2 linked regions of the Caenorhabditis elegans genome follow. The protein of the gene in region 1 purifies or fractionates together with the protein of each later gene. This does not show direct contact. Each region holds a gene or a part of one and is shown on either strand. Other genes may lie near its edges.

Region 1 (7,820 bases):
CTGCCTGGTGCAAAGGCAATCAAAGCCTATCTTATATCTTTTGCGAAAATTGAGGTTCATGCCAAAATTTCTAAGCTCCAACGAGAAGAATACATATTAAAAACAGATACAGTAGCTTCAATTTTTTAATATTTTGGGTTAGTCACTGCAACAAGAACAGTATCTCATAAAATCCATGATTTTTCTATAATTGCTCTTATACTATTCTTCTTTGTTATTTTTTATTGTTTCTAAAAGCCATTATCTATAATTAAAGTTGTCTACCATTGTATGCCAATCAAAGTTCCCATGTATTACATTTTGCCACCTTTCCCGTGTCATTTCCACCGCATAAATAACCTTGCACCCCTTCTTTTCCATCTTCTTCTCCTGCTTCCGTTCCTTTGTATTTATTAAAACCAGTTTTGTCTCGACGGAAACCTCCCAGATTATGATGACGTCACGACACGGATTTTGACGTTACAAAAACGGAAAAGAATAGATATTGAAGTTGAACCGAGATTTGCAAATCTGCAGATATCTCCGATATCTGTTGAAAGTCGCTTTTTGATACTCTGGTCGGATAAATTGTTAAAGTTTTAATAGATTACAGAAACTGCCAAAAAGATATATACCATGTAATCAAAAATCAGAATTCGTAAAGACCTTGAAAGCCATTCGACGTTCCTTCTCCTAATTTGATTATCAGAGGTAGAAGAGTCTCCAGACATCGTAAATCACATCAATCGACTTTTGAAATAGCACCTAGGTTTGTCAATTTTTCATTGTGATGGTCGAGGTCGATTCCTTGAAGTTTGCGTGGTTAGGTAGCTTTAATTACAGGTATTATATTCAAGAAATTACTTAGAAATTAGAAGTATTCGTGTAAAAGCTAAACCTATTAGTAACAGTTTGGTGAATTCATTCCATTGTTAGATTTACTGTGAATGTAATCAGGAAAATGAAAACTTCAGTCAAATATTACCTTACCCTTCATTTGGAAATTCAACGAAAAATGATTAACGAAAATACCCAACTGACGAAAGTGTTAAAATACTAACTACATAGCATTCAGTAAAACAACTTAGAATGCATATTAACACCCAATTTGTCGCTTACATTTTTCGATGAAGTCAACGTCCAGAAGAAGAAGAATTTTTGCAGTAAAATTTATTTATTTATTTTAATTGATTTAAGAGAAGTTAATATATTTTACATTGGTTTGGAAACTGAAAAAGATCACAATAATTGGATTATGAGAGCTCCGAAGTGTTTTTCTATTTCTGTAGATTTTGTAACAAAGTTTGAAAGGTGCGATAATCACGACATAAATTACAGTTAAATTGAACAAAGGAACACAATTTTATCATGATCAGTACTTTGTAATCAACTAGTATAACATTACACTTTTGCAGCTTCTTCCTGTTTCCGGTTCCAACCAAAATAATAACATGGCTAAAAAGAAAGATTCCGTTCCATCCTGGTGAATTTCCGATGGTTCCAGGTTCCAACCGATTCTATAGAATTCATTTCTCAGTATCTCATATCTAAATCTTCTATAACAGCTTCCGAAAAAGTAACAATTCCTTGGGATTTCAAACGGATCGGTCAAGGACAAATTGTCGAGGAGGAGAGTAATAGAGGGAAGTTTTGGGAATCAAGATGAGAAGGAAATCATGCGGTGGAAATAAATTTGTTTTTGTGTTACCGGGCAAAAAATACACATAAATAAGAAGATATCATTGAGATAATCGTTATAATAAATCCCATCACAATATCATGGCTATGTGTCGTCGGAAATTTTTTTCTTGAAAATTAAGATGTTTGTTTGGTGTAGTCTGAAAGTAGAAAATGCGTTAATTTGAGAGAAAACATGTTTCCGTAAATTCAATTGTTTTGTTGTTTTCTGTAAAATCTCTCAAAGTTCAAAGCTTATTATCGTGGTTTTTCTTGGTCTAAACTCGGAACTGTCAACTGACAGTGAGCTACATACTTAAAACTGAAGTGAAAATAGGCTTTATGAAAAGTGACATTTTAAAAATTAAATCAGAACTGCTAATTATTTATAAATTTGCAAATTTGTAAAACTTGTTTAGGTACAATAACCAAAGGAGTAAATTTAACTATTTGATCATTGAAGGCATCTAACTTTATTTTATAATTTTAGAAACAACATCTAGGGATTCAAAAATTTGAAAACATCAGTAACAATTATTAAAAAAGTAGTTTCAAATTTAAACTATGAACAAGACATAAGTCAATCAAACCAGTAAACAAAACGAAATCGCATTACTTAACTGCACACCGCTGTGATTTTCTCCGATTTTTTCGTTATTTCCAGTAAGTAACTTCCTTAATCGCATTCGATACTTCCTTCATTTTTTTATTTCTACCAAAACCATCCGGCAGACAAAAAACATGATGCCCTCCTTCAACCACCGGCTGTTCTTCTGGGTGGTACCGCCCATCGTTAATGGCTGTTGGCATGGCAGAAATTGACCTTCCGTCGATGAGTATAAAAGAGAATGTCAGATGTTCAGAAGGCACAACACATCTGACGATGTTTGAAGAAAAGCTCCTAGTTGGAATAGCCTCATTGGCATCTACTGTTGCCGTTATCGTCTGTCTTGTGGTTATTCCATCACTCTATAGCACTATCAATGAAGTCCATGAAGAAGTATGATTTAGTTAAATTTAATGACAAAAAATCATTATTTTCTCATTTAAAATTAAACCTTACTCATGTTTCCATTCAGGTTTTGGATGGTGTGAAGATTTTCCGCGCAGAAACGGATGCTGCCTGGGTTGAGATGCTCGATGTTCAAGTAATGGTATCTCCACCATCAAAGCCTAAGGAAAATCCATTTAACTCTGTCTTCCGTCAAAAGCGTCAAACATTTTCGGGATTACCATCTTGGTGTCAATGTGAGCCGGCGAAGCCACGTTGTCCACGGGGACCACCAGGACCTCCAGGTCGTCCAGGACAACGTGGAACTTCTGGATCACCAGGACCCCGTGGACAGGACAATCATCAGGTGCATGCTCCAATTCAATGTCCACGACAACAACCAGGATGTGTTAAATGCCCACGAGGACCAGCAGGCCCAACAGGTTCAATTGGACAAGCAGGAAGACCAGGTCCAGATGGACGTCCAGGACAACCTGGAAGAAAAGGAAATAATGGTAGACCAGGTCAACCGGCACCACAAGGAAATGCTGGACATCCTGGAAGAGACGGAGAACCCGGGCAACCAGGAAATCCAGGAAAAGACGGAAGAAAGGGACGTGGGCATCCAGGAACAGCTGGAAGACCAGGACAACCAGGAAAGCAAGGAAGTGCAGGAAATCCAGGAAGAAAAGGAGAAAGAGGACAAGATGGTCAACCAGGACCAGGAGGAAGACCAGGGCAACCAGGAAACAGAGGATCCGATGGACATCCAGGTACTCCAGGAGGTAGAGGCCTTCCAGGACCAGATGCTGCATATTGTGCATGCCCACCAAGATCGTCAGTGTTTGTCAAAGCAAGGCATTAGAAGTTGGATTTTAAGGTTTTTATTTTCTTTTTTCACTCCACAACAACAAAAATAAACTTTTATGCACCGTTTTTGAATATTTTTCCATCGAACAAGACCTATGAATATTCATCATGTTAAGAAAATTAGAGACTCGGCAGACAATTCTCGAATTACAATTGAGAAGAGTAACTAAGTTTCAATATGCCTTGAAGTGATGTAACCTCTTGAAAATGTGTACTAGTTCACCAATGAAACGGTTATTTTCAAGTACCACATCAGTTTCACAGTACCACGTCGAAAAGTTTCAACGTCTCTATCTGAAAGTTTTGAAAATTGTTTCCTACTATCGAAAAAACCAACTAAACATTTGGCAAAAACAGGTTGAATAGTTCTACTCTCACACTCTTATTCCGCAATTGGATGTTCTTCTCCGAGAAAGAGAAAGCGGTCATTGTGTCATCGTAAAGGGCAAAAAAAGCGTTCCCTTTTTTTCATATCATCTCATTTTCTTTATTTCACCTTTTCTTATCAATTTCTCCTATCAAAATGGTCAAGGCGCGGTTGGCGCGAGGAGTTACCAATTAGGTCAGAAACGGAAAGAAAAACGTTTACGTTTACGGGTGCAAAACTAAATTGCAGGAGCGAGAAAGAGAGAAGAAAGAGAACAGAAACTTTAGATGATAAAAGTAAAAAAGATGGGGATACAGATGCCCCGCCCATTTTGCGCCTGGTGCGGCGACCTTCTCCGGAAAAGTATTTAAGTGAAGGATGAAGGGTTTGAAAATTCATCATCCACATCGACTTCCCTTTCAAGGAGAAGACGTTCGGACTGAGCTAAAATGTTTGAGGAGAAGCTTCTGGTTGGTATTGCCTCTTTGGCATCTACTATTGCCATTTTGACATGTGTTGTTGTCATTCCAGGACTCTACTCTACTATTAATGAGATGCATGACGAGGTTTGCATTTTAATATTGTTTTCTAATTTACATTTTCGAAATAATATTTTTCCTCAAAAGATGGATCAGAAAATATTAACTAAATGTTATTTATACTTCTGTGAAATATAATAATTTATTTTCAGGTTCTTGATGGTGTGAAGATGTTCCGCGCCGACACTGATGCTGCCTGGGTTGAGATGCTCGATGTTCAAGTCATGGTCTCCCCACCATCTCAGCCAAAGGAAAATCCATTCAACTCCGTCTTCCGCCAAAAACGTCGTTCAACTTTCTCAGGTCTCCCAGCTTGGTGCCAATGTGAGCCAACAAAGCCAAAATGTCCACGAGGACCACCAGGACCACCAGGGCATCCAGGACAGAGAGGAATTCCAGGAATTCCAGGACGCAATGGACAAGATAATTATAACACAATTCGTGCTCCCGCCTGTCCACCGCGTAATCAAGACTGTATTAAATGCCCGGCCGGACCACCAGGACCATCCGGTACATGCGGACAGGTTGGAAGACCGGGTCCAGACGGACGTCCAGGACAACCAGGAAGACGAGGAAATGATGGAAGACCAGGACAACCAGGACCACAAGGAAATGCTGGACAACCAGGAAGAGATGGAAATCCAGGACAACCAGGACATCCAGGAAAGGATGGGCGTCGCGGACACGGATCTCCAGGAGCACCAGGAAGAGCTGGACAACCAGGACGTCAAGGAGCACCTGGAAACCCAGGAAGACCAGGAGAGAGAGGACCAAGTGGACCATGTGGACCAGCTGGAAGATCAGGTCAACCAGGAAACCGAGGATCCGATGGTCATCCAGGAGCTCCAGGAAATCCAGGTCTTCAAGGATCTGATGCTGCCTATTGCGCTTGTCCAACTCGTTCAGTCATGTTTCTCAAGCGACACTAGATATTATTAACTTCTTCAATCAATTTTCTGCAATAATAAGAAATTCAGACAATGCTCTGATCATAATAAGAACAAAAATAAAATGTTTTATTTTCCCTGAATTTGTTCATTTACACTTAACACCCTTCAGTTTTTGATACCCGTCATGAATCATTTGCGGACCTTTCATATTATGAACTGCGTAGATCAAAGGAACTCCTCCTTTTGAGCATTTGAGTCGAGATGGAATGAGCTCAATAACATAACGAAGAAGATGATTAGCCCAGTTGATTTGTTTAATTTTTAAAGCTTTGCCAATAACTCCAGTCCAGAAGACATCCTGAAACAAATCAATTTAAAACTAATAATAAAATTAAGAATTCAAACGGCTTTTAGTATCATAAAATCGCAGAAAATACCTCAATGATCCATTGATTATAGTTCTTAGCTTCCTCCAACATTCGTGGAACTGCATTTTTTCCGATTAAATAAATTGGGCCATCAATATATGGAGGGAAAAACTTCTCAGAATAAAGAGTTTTTGGTACATACCTGTAATATTGAAATTTCTATTGTTATGTTTTATTTCCTACCATCTATGTTTTTTTTCTCTCACTGGTGGTGAATTTTTCCAAATAATTCCACTAATTCCGTTAATACTTGCTTGTTTCTTATCTTCAAGACTTCTGTATAATCCATCCATATCGACTGCCATATCATCATCAATTTTCAATTGAAAGTCCGCCAGTTGACAGTGACTCTGTTTATAGCTTAATATGGCATGAACTTTTAATATCAAAAGTTCATAAGATTCATATAAATCCGTTACAATCATATCGTCAAATTTTTCAATTTCTTTTTGAAGAGCAAAATTTAAAAATTCATTGCTTGTTTTTGAAATAATAAATGAAATTCTAACATCATTGTTCTGAAAAAAATATTTTAAAATTATAGAAAATAGAGACAACATACAGCGACATGTTCCGAATTATTTGGATTAGCCCATGTCTCTCGAATTGCTTGCCGAATATCAAAGTTTCCGGCAGTTGAAAGAATTGTGATTTGAAGTTTTGTGTTACTGCAACAATTTTAAGATATCATAAAAACTTATATTTTTAATTTTCTTTTCTTACTTAGAGCACTGTTTCTTTGGCACTGTGATGAACTGATAAGTATGATTTTGGTCTTTAAACTGAGCATGGTAAAACTGATTAGTTGACCCATCTTTAGATAAATGAGATTTTGAAGAAAAAGAGTTTGTCACTTCAAATATAGGAGCATCTGTTGAATAAGAGCGAATTCGATCGAGATTCAGAAAGACTGTAACGTCTGAAAAAATGAAAATCAACCAACTTGATGAAAGTGTTAAATATTTGACTTGGTGTGGTAGTTAGATAAAGTTTATATGCAAATAATATTTTTATTGGAGTGTTTCTTTTAATGGTCTTGCCAAAAAAAATCAACAGTCTGTACACTCCAGAGTACAATAGTCTGAAAATTTCAATAACATACATACATCACAATGTTTTTATCATTAAATGTCTCAAAATCTAATAAATAGTAAATAAACAGTACAAAATGATAGTAGAACATTACTCGTGAATGCTTATCGTCAAAATTCCAAGTTTCAAAAAACAGACAAAAACTCAAATATTGGTTTTGAATGTTTTAATAATATTTAAAATGTTCTGAAAATAACTTCCACAACTTACATAAAATAATTAGACCGAGTAGATATTTCCAGAGTTTTCGACAAAGATTCATGCATGAATCTGAAATAAATACCTTTTGTTTTACAAAAAAAACTGTAAGAACACAATTTTGGAAATCTTGAAATAGTTCTCATGCTTTATTGGTCAATGTATCATACATCACCTATTGAAAACCAAGAAAAGAATGAGAAGCTCTAAGAAAAAGGACGTTGTCGTGGGATACACACGGGGGAATTGTGCGCAAAGAAAAAGCAGACTTCTTCGCACCTGAAGACGTGTGTCAGAGATTTAGCAAAGAAGAGACGGAAAGAGAAAACGAATGTGTTTGTTTGGATACCAAAATTTGCAAATAAACTTAATATCCGGAAAAAGTGTAACTATGTATTCAGTAGAAAGGCTATATGAACTTCTATGTAGAAGAATTATTCGGCATTTATTCATGTGGTTTAAAAAAGTATATCTGAAAACGGAGCCATATAAGTTAACTTAATTTAGAATTTTTGAAATAGTCAAGTTTTTACAGCTCTTCTAGGAACTAAATTACAATTGGAGAAAAAGTGGTTTAATGAAAAAAGTTTAAAAACTATGTGTTTTACATGCGATTTATGAAATAGTTATGTGCGGATTACTTTAATCTCCCTCACAAATTATCTCACAGTTTTTGATCGTGAATTTTGAAAACTCATGAATTTAACAAAAAGTACATTAAAAAATGCACCTAATTTCGCCATTGGTTTTTGAAATTTCTATTGGTCGTTAAATTTCAAAGAAACCTTT
Region 2 (11,417 bases), on another chromosome or scaffold:
TCAACTTACACAGATTTCTTAGTATGAAATTCGAATTTTTCGCGGATTTCTACCCTTGATAACCTATTTTTAGAGCTCCGCCATGAAATTTACAGAGATTGTGCATTTTTGCGTCGGGTTGCTCGGTGTTTGCGTACTTTTGAGGCTACCGTAACCCGGAAAATTCAAATTTCAAGCTAGAAGCCCGAAAAATAGCGGGGTTTAGGGTAAAAAAGCACGAAGAATTCGAATTTCGCACTGAAAATTTCGAAATTTTGCTTAAAAATTTTCGCTTAAAAAATCATCGATTTCTTGCCAAAATTCCACATTTTAGGGTCAAATTTTGCCGATTTTTCAGTACCTTATACCCTTTGGCATCAGCTGCGGCCCGTAAAATCTGCCGAATTTGCCAAGTTGGCGGTTTCCAGAGTTTTGCCAGTTTTTGGCGTTTTGTTAGTTTAAATTGTACAGTTTTGACGCGTTTTTCGCCGCGTTTTTTCGTATCTTTTTTCAGTAGAATGCCTTTTTTCGGTGGTGGCGACGGTGGTGAGATCTGAAAAAAATTCAAAATTTCAGTAAATTTTACGTTAAAATGGTTTTCTGGCATTTTTCTGACAAAATTTGGGATTTTTCAATAGAAATTCCCAATTTTAAGTCATTTTTTGGGGTTTTTGCAGTGAAATTTAAATGTTTATGGGTGAAAAATACCCGATTTTTGTGAATTTTTTGATTGAAATTTCCAACTTTCCGTCATTTTCTGGATTTTACGCTAAAAAATTGGCGATTTTTGCCAATTTTCCGATCAAAAATTCGAATTTTTCAGCAAATTTTACCCAAAAACCACTAATTTTTCGTGTAAATTCCAAGTTTTTTAGGCGAAAAATTGAATTTTTTATTGAAATTTTCACTCCATTTCGGGTTTTTTTCGCCGAAATTTACATTTTTTTGGCATTTTTCTGACAAAATTTCGATTTTTCGATAAAAATTCTTAATTTTAAGCCATTTTTAGGGGTTTTCCACAGTGAAATTTCCATGTTTATAGGTCAAAAATACCCGATTTTCATTAATTTTTCGCCAACTTTCCCGATTTTTGTGTCAAAAATCGGCGTTTTTCCCAAATTTTCACTCGAAAAATCGAATTTTCCGTACCATTTTATTAATATTTAGTTTATATACATCAGGTTTCACATCCTCCTCAATTTTGTGCTCAAAATCATCGCAAATTTCCTCTTTTTTCACTAAATTCTCCTCTGAAAAATCCGTCGGCTCTTCCTTTGTGATGACGTCATCGGGCGGCTCCGAGGCTTCTGATGAGCTCTCCGAATCGGAATTTTCAGTGGAATTTCTTCCTCTCCGGCGCCGCCAAATTTCACGGCGAATCGAGTTTCGGTAGATTTTTATCTGGAAAAATTGAATTTTTAAAAAGAAAAATTTGAGGAAATTTTAGAGTTTCAACGGAAAAAACCGAGAAAATTTGAATTTTTCGGCGAAAAATGTGAGAATTTTCGATTTTTAACTGGAAAAACAGATTAAAATTTGTCTTTTTCAGTGGAAAATCTGAAATTTTGGCTTTTTTCAACGAAAAATTTGAAAATTTTAGGATTTTAACCGAAAAAATGTGGAAATTTGAATTTTTCCGGCCAAAAATCTGAAAATTTTAAATTTTTACCTGGAAAAAACAGAGAAATTTTGGATTTTTCCGGCCAAAAACCTGAAAATTTCAATTTTTCCAGCGAAAAAATTCGAAAATTTTCGATTTTTAACTGAAAAAAAAAACAGAGAAAAACTGAAATTTTCCAGTGGAAAATCTGAAATTTTGGATTTTTTCAACGAAAAATTTGAAAATTTTAGGTTTTTAACCGAAAAAATGTGGAAATTTGAATTTTTCCGGCCAAAAATCTGAAATTTTGAAATTTTTAACTGGAAAAAACAGAGAAATTTTGGATTTTTCCGGCCAAAAACCTGAAAATTTCAATTTTTCCAGCGAAAAATTCGAAAATTTTGGATTTTTTATTGTAAAAACCGAGAAAAATTGAATTTTTTCAGGAAAAAATCTGAAAATTTCAAATTTTTAACTGAAAAAATTCGAAAAATTTGGATTTTTTATTGTAAAAACCGAGAAAAATTGAATTTTTCCACCGAAAAATCCGAAAATTTCAGATTTTTAACTGGAAAAATGACCATTTTTACGAGAAAAAGTGGTTTTTTTTTGCCAAAAATTTGCAATTTTCCGCACCAAATTCCGGCGTTTTTGCCATTTTTTAAAGTGATTTCGGTCTTCAATCTCCAATTTCTTATCATTTTGATCTCTTTCTTCCTCTTCAAGCCGTCGACGTTCAAGCTCAATCTCTTGCTCTTCATATTCCCCGGCATTCGTTGGATAATTGATTTTTGGCTGAAAATTTCGTGAGTTTTTAGGTGAAAATTGGGAAATTTGGTAATTTTTAGGACGAAAAAGTGGGATTTTTTCGAATTTTTAGGTTAAAAATTGCAAAATTTGTAGATTTTCTACTAGAAAATGTGAAAATTTGGCAATTTTCAGGTAGAAAAATGTGACTTTTTTGGTTTTTTCAACAAAAAAAATCGTAAAATTTCGCATTTTCCAGTAAAAAATCATGAAAATTCTGATTTTTCTGGGGGAAAATGTGAAAATTTTGCAATTATCAGGTGGAAAATCTTGAAATTTAGCGAGTTTCCAGTGAAAAATCGCGAATTTTAAGATTTTTCAGTGAAAAATTGTGAAAAGTCCAAATTTTTAGGTGAAAAATCGTGAAATTTGGCTATTTTCACAGAGAAAAATGCAATATTTTCAAATTTTTAGGTAGAAAAATGTGACTTTTTTGGTTTTTTCAACAAAAAAATCGCAAAATTTCGCGTTTTTTCAGTGAAAAATTGTGAAAATTCTGATTTTTCAGGTGAAAAATCTTGAAATTTTCCAATTTTCACAGCGAAAAATGCAATATTTTCATATTTTCAGGTAGAAAAATGTGACTTTTTTGGTTTTTTCAACAAAAAAACGTAAAATTTTGCATTTTTTCAGTGAAAAATCTTGAAAAGTCCAAATTTTTAGGTGAAAAATCAAGGAAATTCGGATTTTTCTGGGGGGGGGGGGGGGGGGGGGGGGGGGGGGGGAAATAGTGAAATTTGGCAATTTTCAGGTAGAAAAATGTGACTTTTTTTGGTTTTTGGAACCAAAAATCTCAAAATTTTGAGATTTTCAGGTGAAAAATGGTAAAATTTTTTTCAATTTCTAAAGGTTAAAAAGTGAATATTTTGAGATTTTTTGGGGTAAAAATTGTGAAAATTCCGAATTTTTAGGTGAAAAATCCTCCAAATTTCCACACACAAAACCGCGCACCGGTTTGGGCTTATAAAACGGTAAACTCGACACAAATTCCACAATTTCCTTCTTTTCATCACGCATTTTTCGAAATTTGTGATCCACATTTTGGCGGTCATAACGGACGGTTTGTTGCTCATTGAATTCGGATTCCTGCAATAAAAAAATCGATTTTTTCGGCTGAAAATTGCCAAAAATCGTTAAAATTGGCAAGTTTTTTGGCTAAAAAACGTCAAAAATCGAATTTTCGACCATTTTTTTCAACATTTTCAGCACAATTTCACTGAAAAATCGATTTTTTCGGCTGAAAATTGTCAAAATTTAGATTTTTTCCCACTTACCAATACTAATAAATACTCCATTCCCTGAATTTCACATCCTTTTTTCTCCACAACTATCCAATTTCGATTTTTATGCTTAACAATGTCCAAAACTTCCATTTTCAGCGATTTATCCTCGATGACGTCATCAGAATTGGCTCTTTGAGCTTCAATTTGCTCCCATTCGGCGTCTTCTTGTTGCTCCTGGAGTCGTTTTTCTGAAAAATTCGAATTCTCCGTGATTTTTTACACCGAAAACCCATTTTTCACAGCTCAGAAGCCAAAAATGAGGAATCTGTGCATTTTTGCGTCGTGTTGCTCGGTGTTTGCGTACTTCTGAGGCTACAGTACCCCCGGAAATTCAAATTTTGAGCTAGAAGCCCATAAAAATGACGTTCCAGGGTAAAAAATGATGGGAATTTCAAATTTGATGATTAAAAATTTTGAAAAAGTGCCTGAAACCCAAAATTTCAAATTTGCGCCGCAAATGTTAACTTTCACAGGTTTTTTAGTACGAAATTCGAATTTTACGCAAATTTTTACTCCCGGAGCACTATTTTCAGAGCTCCGCCATGAAATTTACGGAAATTGTGCATTTTGTCGTAAGCCCCTCGGTGTTTGCGTCTTCCGAGGCTACAGTACCCCCGGAAATTCAAATTTCGAGCTAGAAGCCTGGGAGAAAGAGTTCCTAAGCTAAAATTTCACGGAGAACTCGATTTTGAGCTCGAAAAATGGCATTAAAGTCAAGAAACTTGAAAAAAGTCAACTTTGGAATTTTCTGCGGGGGGGAATTGAGGCATTTTCTTGTGAATTTTCTGAATTTTAAGCTCAAAATTCAAGTTCAAAAGTGTTTTTTACCCCTATCTAGGCAGTTTTCGCAAACTTCTGCATTTTGTCGTAAGTTCTGCGGTGTTTGCGTACTTCTGGGGCTACCGTAACCCGGAAATTTCAAATTTCGAGCTAGAAGCCTGGGAAGACGAGTTTGAAAGGTAAAAAATCACGAAAAATTCGAATTTGGTACTGAAAAAGTTTAAAAATCAGTTAAAAATTTGAATTTCCGAGCCAATTTTTCGCGCATTTTCCTCCTAAAATCGTACGTTTTTCCTGGAAAATCCTCAAATTTTCCGCTTTTTCCTGTCTCCGAATCCACGAGATCAGATTCTGCGGATCCACGAGGCATTCCCGTCTTCGAATCAATTTTCGATCGATAAATCGAACTCTCGGGCGAATTTTCAGCCGCAATTTTCGGTTTTTCGAGGTTTTCGGGCGGCGAAATTCGATTTTTCGTTGGTTTTTCGTTTTTGGACGGCGGAGATATCGATTTTTCGTCGTCGTTTTCCGCTTGAAACACACTAAAACAGCGATTTTTCGCCAATTTTTTGCGGTTTTTTCGCGTTTTTTCACTGGAAATTGCTCGATTTTGATGGGAAATTCTTGTAAATCCAGAGAATTTCTTTTTTCTCGCGAAATTCTCCAATTTCCAGGCATTTCATCCAGTTTTTTGGCTCCTTTTCGTTCAATCGTCCAAATAGCCTTGCGAATTTCGGATTTTCTGTACAAATTGTGCATTTTGAGCCATTCCGCCCGTCTTTTATCCATTAAAACCAGCGATTTCATCGATTTATGCGAAATTCGCCATCCAGTTTGATATGAAGCGTATTTCGGAAGGCAGAGGTTGTCTGGAAGTGGAAATTTCGTTAATTTTGAGGCAAAAATTCGAGGATTTTTTCGGTAAAAACTCGAAAAACCAACCAGAAATCCAGTCTCTGTGCTCACAATTCGTGTTATGAAGCCGAAAAGGCGTCTTAATCGGCGGATTTACTCGTGGTGGCGGGAAAAATATGCGGAATTCCTCATCCCTCCGCTTTTTCGCCGTTTTCTTCGATTTTTGCAACTTTTTCTGCGTTTTTGGCAGCTTTTTCGCGGTTTTTTCACACGTTTTAGTGGATTCGGTGTCACTCTGCAAGGTATTTGAGTGAAAACTGGCTGTAAATTGGTAAAAACTCACGGTATGCGCCGAATCTGACCCTTGTTGCAGCTTTTTTGGCTTCATTTTCTGAAATATTGATTTTTAATCAAAAAATTTGAAAAAAATCACAAATTTTCCATGTTTTTCCATGAAAAACCATAAAAAAACAGAAAAACAGAAAAACAAAAATTATTAAATTTTAAATTGTCACAACGACACTCCGAAATAACGGTCTAAACAAGGCGCGCGCCTAGTTAACACCGTTATTTCGGAGTGTCGTTGTGACAACAAAAAATTTTTATTTTTCATTTAATTTTTGTTTTTCGCCCAATTTTACCGGATTTTTATCAAATTTTTCAATTTTTTCGCTAAATTCATCGATTTTTGAATCAAAAAATCACTATATTCAGGTAAAATGCGTCCGGAAACCGTAAAAACCATGCGAATACGAAGTTCAGTGACCCGAAATGATTCTGGATCGGTTTCACCGCCGGCTCCCAGTACTTCAAGGTTATTTAAAAAATAGAAATCTCATGTTAATTGTGAAATTTCAGTGATGAAATGGCAATTTTTCGCCAAGTTATGCGAAAAACCTTTGCAAATCTGCCTCCACTGGAGTTGGAGCTGAAAGTGAGCATTTTTTTTGGGAATTTTTGATTTAAAAATTGAAAAATTTCAGATTGAGCAGCTTTGGAATGGTCTGACGCCGGCGCAGCGGGAGAAAATGATGAAAAATGGGGAAAAGGAGAATGTTTCGGTAAATTTTTTTATTAAAAATTTTTTTTTTAAATTTTTTAGCCCTAAAAAAATTGAAAATTGAAAATTTCAGCAAAAACAAGCAGCAGTGTCGATGGAAACTCGTAAAAGTAAATTTTCAACGAGAAAAATCGCTGAAAAACTGGAAATTTTCAGATTGTAACGCTATAGCAAAGGTTTTGGACATTAAACCGTCGACAACACCGACAAATTCATATGCAGAAAGATTGAAAATTCGAATTAAAGCATATCATAATGAGGGATTCATTTTGGCGTCCCGGGAAGGGTACGGAGCACCGAAAACGCGGAAAAATGGCTGAAAATTCATAATTTTCTGCAAAAACTGCCCTAAAAATGCAGAAATTTGCTCAAATTTTAGGTTTTTCTTACTAAAAAGTTCAATTGTTTTTCCAAAATTTTTCTAAAAATGTAATTTCCTAACAGTTTCTCAGTGACTTCTGTGTTCTACTCTTATTGATAGTTGAAAAACTGTATTTTTTGCATTTTCAACCTTAAATTAGCCAATTTAAGATTGAAAATGCAAAAAATACCGTATTTCTGCCAACAATTTGACAAAAGAGCACATTTGTCACTCGGAGATGCGGAAGCTATGCCCAAATTTTCATTTTTCCGGAAAACTTGTGATTTTTCACTAATTTTCGAGATTTAATGTCCAAATTTTCATTTTGAACCGATTTTTGAAACTTTGCAGTGCGAAATTCGAATTTTCCGTGGTTTTTTACCCTAAAACCTCTTTTTGCCGGGCTTCTAGCTTGGAATTTGAATTTTCCGGGTTACGGTAGCCCCAGAAGTACGCAAACACCGCGGATCTCACGACAAAATGCAGAATTTCGCGAAAAATGTCTAAATTGGTGTAAAAAAGCTTCTAAATCCGAATTTTGAGCTTAAAAAGCGCAAGAATGTCTCAATTCTCGCAGAAAAAATTAAAAAATGACATTTTTTCAAAATTTGAGGATTTAAAAAAAAAAATGTACGGAAATTCAAATTTTTCAGCAAAAACCGATAAAAGCCGGGCTTTTCTCCAGGAAATTCAAATTTCCATCCGAATTTTTCAATTTTAACCGACTTTTGAAACTTTTCAGTGCGAAATTCGAGTTTTCCATAGTTTTTTTCCATTAAAACTCGTTTTCCTAAGCTTCTAACTCGAAATTTGAACTTTTCGGGTTACGGCAGCCTCAGAAGTACGCAAACACTACAGATCTTACGAAAAATGGCTGGATAGGGGTAAAAAATTATTTTGAATCTGAATTTTGAGCTTAAAATCAGTAAAAAATGCCTCAATCCCCGCAGATATTTCAAAAATTTAATTTTTTTTAACTTTTTCTCAGTGACTTGTGTGTTTCTACTCGTATTGATGGCATAAAAACGGGTATTTATTCACATTTTCAGCCTTAAATTTGCCTGAAAATGTGAATAATTACCGTATTGCTGCAAACAATTTGACAATAGAGCACATTTGTCACTCGGAGATGCGGAAGCTATGCCCAAATTTTGCAATTTTTCCCGGAAAACTTGCCATTTCTATCGATTTTTCTCGAATTTTCAGTTAAAAATTGAGTTTTTCACTCATTTTTACCCATAGAAATTGCTTTTTTTGCACAAAATAGATTGATGGTCTAACTTTTGACATTTCTAGGTCACCAATCTGAAAATGATCGTTTCTAGCCATTTTGTAGCGATTTTTTTGGATTTTTACTTGAAAATTGCAAAATTTTCAATTTAAATCCGTAAAATCTACTAGAAATCGATATATTTCCCCTGTGACTTGTGTGTTTCTACTCGTATTGTTGGCATAAAAACGGGTACTTATTCACATTTTCTGCCTTAAATTGGCTGAAAATGTGAATAAATACCGTATTTCTGCCAACAATTTGACAATAGAGCACATTTGTCACTCGGAGATGCGGAAGCTATGCCCAAATTTTCAATTTTCAGTCAAAAACTTGCCCAAATTTTTTTTAACCCGATTTTTGAAAATTTTCATTATGAACTTCGATTTTTTCATGGTTTTTTACCCTAAAACCTCTTTTCGCCGGGCTTCTAGCTCGAAATTTGAACTTTTCGGGTTACGGTAGCTCCAGAAGTACGCAAACACCGCGGATCTTACGGAAAAATGCAGAATTTCGCGAAAAATGCCTAAAAAACGCTTCTAAATCCGAATTTTGAGCTTAAAAAGCGCAAAAAATGATGATTTTTCACTCTAAAACTGCAAAATTTTCACAAAAAATTGAAAAAAAAGGATTTTTCAGCCCTCCAACACTTCCATCACGACTTCCACCCACCGCAGCAGAGCCAAAAATCTCACTTCCGACATCAAAACCACCGCCAATTCCCATAAAAATCGAGGAAATGGTTCAAAAAACCGTCCAACACCTTCGAAAACCCCAAAAACACGCCAGAATCGTCGTAAAACCGATAAAATGTGCCCAAAAACCACAAAATTCGGCGGAAAAAGGACGAAATCCCGTTAAAAAATCAATTGAACCGGTTGAACCAATGGTTTTGGAGCCAATTGCTCCACCACCACCACAGTCTCCTGTAATAAGTTACAGTGAAGCGTGTAAAATGTACTATCAGACACTGTCACAAATGACGCTTTTGGCTGATTTTGGTAGGTTTTTAGGCGAAAAAAGCGAGAAAAATTGCATTTTTGACCCTAAAAAAACGAAAAATTGAATAAAAATCGAATTTTTGAGCTGAAAATTCCATATTTTCAGCTCTAAAAGCACCTGAAATAGAATAATTTTCTGATTTTCGACCTAAAAAAATTTTTTTTGAGCTTAAAAATCAGGTTTTATCAGTTCAAAAACCTGAAAAATTCGATTTTTTAGTCTAAAAACTTGATTTTTAGCGAAAAATTTGAATTTCTGAGCAAAAAATGCGGGAAATTTCATTTTTGAGCTTAAAAATCGACTTTTCGAGCAATTTTCACCAGAAAAAGCTGGAAAGACTGGATTTTTGCCTAAAAATGCCTAAAATTTGCGAATTTTCCCATAAAATCTTCAAGTTTTTTTCAAAAAATTCGAATTTTCAGCCAATTTTTATTCCGGAAATCGATTTTTAGAACAAAAAATGGCCTAAAAATGAAATTTCCCCATAGAAAATTCAAATTTTTCACTTGAAAATCGATTTTTAGTCAATTTTAAAGTATAAATATCGATTTTTATCACAAAAAAATCATAAAAATTGGCTGAAAATCAACAAATTTCCCCAATTTTCAGAAGATCTATCGATGCTGACAGAATACGCGAATATTGTGGAAGGAATTCGGCCAATACGAGAATTTAATTACGGATTTGAATTATAGAAATTATCAGAAAATGTACAGAACCCCTGAAAAAATCGAATTTTTGACTTAAAAATTTGAATTTGAACTGAAAAATTTGATTTTTGACTGAAAAATTCGCCTTTTACATGAGAATTTCAATTTTTGACCAAAAAATTTCAAAAAATCGAATTTTAACTGAAAAATCGATTTTTACATGAAAAAATCGATTTTTGATCAAAAAATTGAATTTTAACCGAAAAAATCTATTTTTGACTTAAAAATTCGATTTTTTACTCAAAAAATCGAATTTTAACTGAAAAATCGATTTTAGACCCAAAATTTCAATTTTTGACTGAAAAAATCGAGTTTTCACTATAAAAAATTCGAATTTTTGACCCAAAAATTCGATTTTTGACTTAAAAATTTGAATTTTAACTGAAAATTCGATTTTTACATGAGAATTGCAATTTTTAACTGAAAAATTCGATTTTTGAATTAAAGATTCAATTTTTGACTTAAAAATTCATCGTAGGACCCCCAAAATAATCTATTTTCTTTTTGTTATCACACCGCTTCCACCACCTGAAAAAGTTAAAAAAAAACCGCTGAAAATTGTTGAAAAATGAGAATTTTCAGCCCATTTTTGGCGGGAAAAGCTGAAAATTTGAATTTTTGCAATGTTTTTAACCTGAAAATCCGATTTTTCCGGCTGAAAAAGCTGAAATTTGAACGTGTTTTCCGTGAATTCCACACATTTTTCGATGAAAAATTCACTAAACACTCAAAAATTCAGCTGAAAAATCTCGAATTTCCCACTTTCTCGCTGAAAATTCCATTTTCAACCAGTTTTTCAGCCTGAAAAAGCTTAAAATCGTCAGTTTTCACTCGAAAAACTGAAATTTTTCGATTTTTTCGGCTGAAAAATCGCAAAATTCTCATTTTTCACACAATTTCAGCCGGTTTTCAGCCTGTTATTTTAGACATTTTTATAGAGAATTTTCACCCAAAAACCCTCGATTTTTTCATTGTTTTCTAGCCACCGCTGTTATAAATTCGGACACACCGCCCGGAAATTTCACACCCTGTTTTACTTGTTATCACCGCCCCCGTTTTCCCATAGATTTATCGATTTTCTTGTTACTTTTCTGTTTTTTTTTGTTCGTCTGTTTCTCGCTATTACTGCTGCTTTCCTGCTTGGAAAAATTCCAATAAATTTGAATTTTTATTCAAATTTGAGGTTTTTTTTTTGTTGCTGAAAATCGATTTTCCGGCTAGTTTTCGGCAAGTTTCGAGCTCAAAATCGAGTTCTCCGTGAAATTCTAGCCTAGAATCTCTTTTCCCCAGGCTTCTAGCTCAAAATTTGAGTTTCTCCGGGTACTGTAGCGTCAAAAGTACGCAAACACCGAGAACTCCACGCAAAGATGCACAACTTCCTCAATTTTTGTGGCTAGGCTCTGACAAATTGAGTTTTGGGGTAAAAAATTACGGGGAACTCGAATTTCACACTGAAAATTTTGGAAAATTAATAATTGCGCCCGAAATTCAAGTTTTTCAGATTAAAACTTTGTTAATACGGGAATTTCAAGCTCAAAATCGAGTTCTCCGTGAAATTCTAGCCTAGAATCTCTTTTCCCCACGCTTCTAGCTCGAATTTTGAATTTCCCGGGGTACGGTAGCGCCAAAAGTACGCAAACACCGAGGCTCCCACGACAAAATGCACAGATTCCTTAATTTACGTGGTAAAGCTCTGAAAAATGGAGTTTT

Evidence for each region.
Region 2: the proteins of col-149 (region 1) and B0524.6 fractionate together in Caenorhabditis elegans (co-fractionation; one large-scale study listed by BioGRID). This does not show direct contact.

The regions. Positions count from the first base shown.
Region 1 is NC_003283.11:10,289,326-10,297,145, reverse strand, and holds col-149 (Nematode cuticle collagen N-terminal domain-containing protein), read left to right. Parts: upstream 1-4,276; 5' UTR 4,277-4,333; coding exon 4,334-4,450; intron 4,451-4,575; coding exon 4,576-5,352; 3' UTR 5,353-5,445; downstream 5,446-7,820. Other genes in the region: col-150 (Nematode cuticle collagen N-terminal domain-containing protein), read left to right, coding at 2,540-2,656, 2,736-3,512; B0024.15 (Hexosyltransferase), read right to left, coding at 5,459-5,671, 5,751-5,883, 5,925-6,259, 6,304-6,409, 6,465-6,660, 7,044-7,095.
Region 2 is NC_003281.10:1,900,242-1,911,658, reverse strand, and holds B0524.6 (HMG box domain-containing protein), read left to right. Parts: upstream 1-6,018; 5' UTR 6,019-6,023; coding exon 6,024-6,118; intron 6,119-6,162; coding exon 6,163-6,238; intron 6,239-6,287; coding exon 6,288-6,365; intron 6,366-6,437; coding exon 6,438-6,474; intron 6,475-6,520; coding exon 6,521-6,650; intron 6,651-7,148; exon of another isoform or gene 7,149-7,203; intron 7,204-8,634; coding exon 8,635-8,996; intron 8,997-9,606; coding exon 9,607-9,692; 3' UTR 9,693-10,885; downstream 10,886-11,417. Other genes in the region: Polyglutamine-repeat protein pqn-41, read right to left, coding at 341-532, 1,129-1,380, 2,216-2,374, 3,338-3,472, 3,661-3,857, 4,737-5,318, 5,392-5,599, 5,648-5,692.